Macaca fascicularis: one gene and its partner. The protein of the gene in region 2 interacts with the protein of the main gene of each other region in a biochemical or structural test. Links are inferred from orthologs where the notes say so. Each region holds a gene or a part of one and is shown on either strand. Other genes may lie near its edges.

What was found.
Region 1: the proteins of CBX5 (region 2) and CHAF1A form a complex in vitro, tested with the Homo sapiens proteins (2 studies listed by BioGRID). The link is inferred for Macaca fascicularis from reciprocal best matches to the Homo sapiens genes CBX5 and CHAF1A.

What each region holds. Positions count from the first base shown.
Region 1 is NC_088393.1:5,149,453-5,153,272, reverse strand, and holds part of CHAF1A (chromatin assembly factor 1 subunit A), read right to left. Parts: coding exon 3,157-3,820; intron 1-3,156. UniProt on the Homo sapiens protein: Acts as a component of the histone chaperone complex chromatin assembly factor 1 (CAF-1), which assembles histone octamers onto DNA during replication and repair.
Region 2 is NC_088385.1:61,081,983-61,085,381, forward strand, and holds the end of CBX5 (chromobox protein homolog 5), read right to left. Parts: intron 2,324-3,399; coding exon 2,173-2,323; 3' UTR 786-2,172; downstream 1-785. UniProt on the Homo sapiens protein: Component of heterochromatin that recognizes and binds histone H3 tails methylated at 'Lys-9' (H3K9me), leading to epigenetic repression. In contrast, it is excluded from chromatin when 'Tyr-41' of histone H3 is phosphorylated (H3Y41ph).

The DNA of each region.
Region 1 (3,820 bases), on a different chromosome or scaffold from region 2:
CCCTAAGTGCTGGGATTACAGGTGTGAGCCACCGTGCCCGGCCATGTGTCCTGTTCTTGCTAAACGGCTGCAACACACCACAGGACGAAATTCTGCAAAGCGGCAGCAGCCTGGAAGAAATTAAAGTGATCGAATGTACACTACAGGATGGCCAATGGGGAAAGACTTCAACTCTGATTTTGGGAGACTGTGTGGTGCCTTAGGTAGAAGTTGAAATGTGTACATCCCAGTCTGGCACATTTAGCATCTTAGAAAAGGGTACTAGGCTTAGTACCTGAGTGATGAAATAATCTGTACAACAAACCTCCATGACAAGAGTTTACCTATATAACAAACCAGCACACACAAAAAAAGAAGACCGGGGCAGTGGCTTATGCCTGTAATCCCAGTACTTTGGGAGGCCAAGGCGAGCGGATCACTTGAGGTCAGAAGTTTGAGCCCAGCCTGGCCAACGTGGTGAAACCTGTTCTCTACCCAAAAAAATACAAAAATTAGCCAGCCATGGTGGTGGGCACCTGTAATCCCAGCTACTCAGAGGCTAAGGCAGGAAAATCTCTCGAACCCAGAAGGTGGAGGTTGCAGTAAGCTGACATCATGCCACTGCACTCCAGCCTGGGCGACAGGGTGAGACCATGTCTAAAAAAAAAAAAAAAATTTGCTCCATTTTTTAATCAACATTTCATGAACCTAAAGAGGAAGTCATTTTTTCCTTTTGCCTCCTCTGAAGTGAAAGACAAGAAATGATGTCGGCCGGGCGCGGTGGCTCACGCCTGTAATCCCAGCACTTTGGGAGGCCGAGGCGGGCGGATCACAAGGTCAGGAGATCGAGACCACGGTGAAACCCCGTCTCTACTAAAAATACAAAAAATTAGCCGGGCACGGTGGTGGGCGCCTGTAGTCCCAGCTACTCAGGAGGCTGAGGCAGAAGAATGGCGTAAACCCAGGAGGCGGAGCTTGCAGTGAGCCGAGATCGCGCCACTGCACTCCAGCCTGGGCGACAGAGCGTGACTCCGTCTCAAAAAAAAAAAAAAAAAAAAAAAAAAAAAAAAAAAAAGAAATGATGTCATTCGGAAAAATAAATGGTCCCGGCCAAGCCTGTGATCCCAGCATTTTGGGAGGCCAAGGCCTCCCCTCACCTGAGGTCAGGAGTTCAAGACCAGCCTGGCCATCATGGCAAAACTCCATCTCTACTAAAAATACAAAAATTAGCTGAGCCTGGTGGCGGGTGCCTCTAATCCCAGCTACTTGAGAGGCTGAGGCAGAATTGCTTGAATCCAGGAGGCGGAGGTTGCAGTGAGCTTAGATGGCGCCACTGCACTCCAGCCTGGGTGACAAAGCAAGACTGTCTCAAAAAAAAAAAAAAAAAAAAAAAAAGAGGCCGGGCGCGGTGGCTCAAGCCTGTAATCCCAGCACTTTGGGAGGCCGAGACAGGTGGATCACGAGGTCAGGAGATCGAGACCATCCTGGCTAACACGGTGAAACCCCGTCTCTACTAAAAAATACAAAAAACTAGCCGGGCGAGGTGGCTGGCGCCTGTAGTCCCAGCTACTCGGGAGGCTGAGGCAGGAGAATAGCGTAAACCCGGGAGGCGGAGCTTGCAGTGAGCTGAGATCCGGCCACTGCACTCCAGTCTGGGCAACAGAGCGAGACTCCGTCTCAAAAAAAAAAAAAAAAAGAAAGAAAGAAAAAGAAATGGTTCCTTAGAGCTCAAAATCCCAAAAGCGAACAAGGTTGGTGGTTTATAGTCCAGGTGGTCTACTGTACCTGCTTACAGGTAGAGATTAAATGACCCATCTCAGGATCTACTCTCATATAAAGAACCAGCATGAACAAACAAAAGTGCTACAAAACCAAAAACAAAAAAAAGGCACTGTCTCTTCTGGTTCTACATACTTAAGATAAAAAGTAAAAATATATAAACCAAAAAAAGACACCATTAAACACAGCATGGAACTTGTGACTGATTTTATCAGTTTGGTCCATAAGATCCTAAGGACACCATCGTGCTAATAAAAAAACAGTAACAGAAACAGTCCATGCAAAAGTCCCTCTTATGGGGTCCTTAAAAATGGTTCCAGATGGGGTCTCACTGTCATCCAGGCTGGAGCACAGTGGTGTGATCACAGCTCGCTGCAGCCTCCAACTCCTCAGCTCAAGTGATCCTCCTGCCTCGGCTTCCCAGGTGGCTGGGACTACAGGCATGTGCCACCATGCCCGGATAATTAAAAAAATTTTTTTTGCAGGGCTGGGTGCAGTGGCTCATGCCTGTAATTCCAGCACTTTGGGAGGCCAAGATGGACAGATCACTTGAGGTCAGGAATTCAAGACTAGCCTGGCAAAGATAGTGAAACCCTGTCTCCACTAAAAATATAAAAATTAGCCAGGTGTGGTAGCGCACACCTATAATCCCAGCTATTAGGGAGGCTGAGGCAGGAGAATCGCTTGAACCTGGGAGGCGGAGGTTGCAGTGAGCAGAGATCACGCCACTGAACTCCAGAGGCTGGGTGATAGAGTGGCTCTGTCAAAAAAATAAAAATAATTTTTTTTTTTTGTAGAGATGGTGTCTTTGTTGTCCAGGTTGGTTTTGATCTTCAAGCGATCCTCCCACCTCGGCCTCCCAAAGTGCTGGGATGACAGGCATGAGCCACTGCGCCTGGCCCCAGGTGAGGTTTTTTAGATGGGTGGCTGTGCTGACTCTACAGAATTCCCCATGTCATGCTTCCTGCCGTCTCACTGCCACTTCAGTGCTCAATGCCTCCATAGCCCCATCCCTACAGTTCTATGCTTGGATGGGAGGGGCACAGAGAGAGCTGGACCTGGAATCTCAAGTGAGGGGTTACAGCACCAGCTCAGATCCTAATTCCCTAAAATGGCTAAGCTATCACTAATTAGATGTAAACAACGAAGGCAAAACAGCAGGGTGTTATCCACACAGTACACCAGGTACACTGTTGATGAATTAAGTCCCAGGCGCATCACAACGAATGCAGAACCGAACACTGAGTTTTGATACAAGAACTCCGTGTCGAGTCCCAGGACCCAGCCTGTGGCCCCGCTCACTCTGCCACAGACCAGCTGGGTGACCCGGTGGAGACTGACAGCGTGCTCTGAGATCCATGAGCACTGATGTGTAGGGACTCCATGGGAGATACTCACTCTGCGCACGGGCGTGGAGGTGGGGAAGGGACTGGTGCTGCTGTGTCGCTTTGTGGGAGCAGGCGGCCCCTCGGGAGAGCTGGTGGAAGAGGGAGAGCTCAGGGACGAATGGCTGAGTACAGAGTCTTCTTCAGGGCAAGATTCCAGCGCCCCGCTCTCAGGGGTCATGTCCTTGCCTTGGGGTGTGGCTGGAGGGGACTTGGTTTGGGGCGGTCTCACAGCCAAGATGTCCTGCAAGACCACCATGGGCACCTTCCCTCTGAACAGGATGCCCCCAGCTTCACTCCAACTGTCCTGCTCCTTTCTGGAGCACAGTCTCAGACCACTCGTCAGCTCCGGGCAGCTCTGTGGTGAACATTCCTGGGAGTCACCTCTCCTCCCTGCACCTCCACAGCCAACACCCTCCTCCTCTGTTTTGTAAGGAATGTTTGAAAGGGTCTCTCCAGGAAATGCCAACTTGTCGTTCTGATTGGCCTTCAACGACCCCTGCTGATCCCTAGTGTCTTCTCGGTTGCCATTTACTGCTTCCCTGGAGGGAGAAGCTTCAGAACTCAGTTTATTGTGGTCCACAAGACTGTCTGGCTGCTCATTTGAGTCCTCTGTCAAATCAATGATGACTGTGCTCTGGCCAACACTGGTTTCGACTCTGTTTCCTAAAAAGTTA
Region 2 (3,399 bases):
TTAGAAACCGATCAGATTAAGTACAAGCAATTGACAATTATCCAGCACTTGATCTAGGCCTTTAATTCCTTCAGAGAGAGAAGGAATATACAGATAAAACTCCCACCCACTTGAGGTATGGTTTATGAGCTCTTGCTCAATCACATTACCATTCAGAAGGATTTTCCTAGCTGACTTAAACCAAAAGCTTCATTGTTCCAGTCTGTCATGTCACTGCAGCAACAGCTGTCACCTCAATTATGCAGTATAATTTTTGACATAATTTATATAAGCACACAGAATTCAATCAGCAGCTGAGCAGGGAAGCAATGTTAACAAATGCTATGAATGGGTATATGATTTGCATATTATGTGGCTCATCTGTGGACTGGAGCAATCCATCCATTCCCCTCATTACTCTGAATAATCTAGAAATGGTGGATGCTCCTGGCCAGACAGCTGTATGTTTTAAAAATCAAAAGCAACAAGAAAAGCAGCCTCATGGCTGGTGCACTCTAGAATTAAGGCTATATTAAGCATTTATTCTTATTTCCTCAGCTTTGGGGCTGGGGCAAGGGTCCTCAAAACCCTGCTATTTCCTTACTTCTAATTGTGATTCTCTAGCCCTCCTCAACCACAAAAAGAAAAGGATAAAGTAGGACATTTCTTGGGGGACAAAGGCAGAAGGATATGATCAGACAAATTTCTCAATATAATAGCAACACAAGAAGAAACCAAAAGGAAATATTTTGCTGAGTAAGGAGAAAAGGTTGTGTCAACATGCTAATAATGCCAGGGCCTGTCACTTTCCAAGGTGATAGTCTTTTAGGAACATGCCTTTATTTTTATTTATTTATATTTTTTAGAGACAGGGGTCTCACTACATTACCCAGGCTGGTCTCAAACTTCTGGCTTCAAGCAATTCTCCTGCCTCAGCCTCCCAAAGTGCTGGGATTACAGGTGGTAGCCACTGTGCCGGGCCATGAAAATTCATTTTAAAAAATAAGATACAACTATAAGTTTGAGGGTAGAAAAAGGGAAGAGCATTAATATTTTGGGGACTCTTGGTGGTAAATCCAGGAGCCAAGAATGCAAGAGACTTTTAACTGCTATGAATACTTAAAATTGATATTGTGGCCAACAGCTCACCTCTAAAACTTCCCCACTGAAAATAATGGCATGGAAGGGAAACTCGGGTCCACTGAGAAGTGAGGGTCAGGTTTGAAGCCTCTTTGGTAACAGGAATGCTTTGGGAGGCCACAAAAGTTGGCAGGCTTGGAGGGTGCCTAGCACCTTGGCACAAGCAAGCACCAGGCAAACACTCACACCTACATAAATATACAGTCTAAATATGAGGAATGGAAAGAAATCATACATACATACCATATGTGATAATAAAGACAATTGTACCCTACCCCATCATCCTCATGTACTATAGCTAAAAATCTCCACAGTTAATAATCTTGTCATTTTATCACAAATTGATATCACTTTACAGAAGCAGAAGTGGAGAGTGCTAAAAGCAAGACCAAAAGTCCTGGGGCTAAAAAGAGTGTCTTGACAAATTTCAGTGTAAAATTTCAAATCTTCCAAAGGATGGAGTAATTCTGGGAGGATAAGTGAGGATGAACAACAGAGGGTGGCCCAGAAGACCACACCAGAAACCCTGTATTCTCCTGGGTAGAGCTGAACAAGGTTGGGAAAGCCCCAACAGGTAGGCAGTTGCTATTGGCTTTTTAACAGACGGGCAACATCCTTTCCATCTCAACATGTCAGAACAAAGGCCAGCTAGTCAGCAACATGTTCTAAGAACCAAAGCAAGAAACCAAAATTCAACATCATTGTGACAAAATCCCCCAATCTAAAAATCAAGACTCTAAGGTGATTAAAAAGTTAAAACTCATCTTGAGGTCACAGGGGAGCAGAAGGAAGAGATCAGGGCAAAGGAAAAAAAAATTGTGGGTATTACACTCAGTATGTAAATGCCTGGTCTTCACAGAGAGACACTCATCATTAATCAGACCATCAGTTATGTTACAAGAGAACCAATACCAACATTTCTCCTGTGGAGCACAGTGATAAGCACATTTTTTATGGATGTGTTTAGGATAGAAAGGGGTGGGTAGAAGGGAGAGGAGGCAGGGAGGTGAATGTATTATGTACAAAGAGAAATGACAGAGACCATCCCCTCCTTTAGCTCTTTGCTGTTTCTTTCTCTTTGTTTTCCGCATCCTCAGGATATGCATGCCATGTCAGTCTCTCTTCATAAAATGCTATCACAATTTGTGGACATTTCACGTTAGCTTCTTTTGCAAGAACCAGGTCAGCTTCATCTGTGTCTTTCCTGGAGAGAAATAATATGAGATTTAAAAGGAGAGGAAGAGTGAAAGAATCTGTCCAGACGTAAGTTTATGTCATTATACGGATTTAATTGACTTGATTTCCTCCTCACCTTGGTTTCAAGGTGAAAAGGACCCTTTCAATATTTTCAAGAAGAAATTTAAGTAAATGGATTAATACCTAATATACAGAAACAGATGTCTGTAGCTAGAATTTAGATGTAAACCATGGTAGGCTTAGGTTAAAAAGCTGAATGATAAATAATATTAATCTGCTTCCAAAATTTTTATTTGTGAATACAAGCATGTGAGTGAACCCAATCAAACCTACATTCAGCTCTATTAATTATGCATAAGTCAATTATACACAGGTTGGTCAATCCAGTTTCCAGATCATCTAAGTGAAGAGGTCTTAACCCTCCTCACTTTGTGTCTGTTTAAATACTTATTACCCCTCTGGTCAGAACTGTGGATTGGAACAACAAGCAAATAAAAATTTAGCTACAAATTTCAATTATCTCAGTTACACAACCTCTACTACCAAGTATAACAAAAAAATCTAGCCACATGGTTCCTTAAACATGATTCCAAATCAGTTTTTAAAAAATTAAAATTATCCTGAGAAGCCCAGGCACAGTAGCTCACGCCTGTAATCCTAGCACTTTGGGAGGCTGAGGCAGGTGGATCGCTTGAGCCCAGGAGTTCGAGACCAGCCTGGGCAACATGGCAAAACCCATCTCTACCAAAAAATACAAAAATTAGCTAGGCATGGTGGTGCACACTTGTGGTCCCAGCTACTTGGGAGGCTGAGGTGGGAGGATCACTTGGGCTTAGGAGGTGGAGGTTGCAGTGAGCTGAGATCGAACCACTGAACTCCAGCCTGGGCAACAGAGCGAGACCCTGTCTCAAAATAAATAAATAATAAAAAACAAAATAAAATTATCCTGAGATGTGGACAAGAAAAATTACCACCTTATTGGAGCAGATACTCAAATATGGACTACGGTGGAAAAAGCTAATTAATGTTAATGTAAATCGTAAGTAACCACATATGGCTGAATAGGAAAAAGCAGTCCAGCCC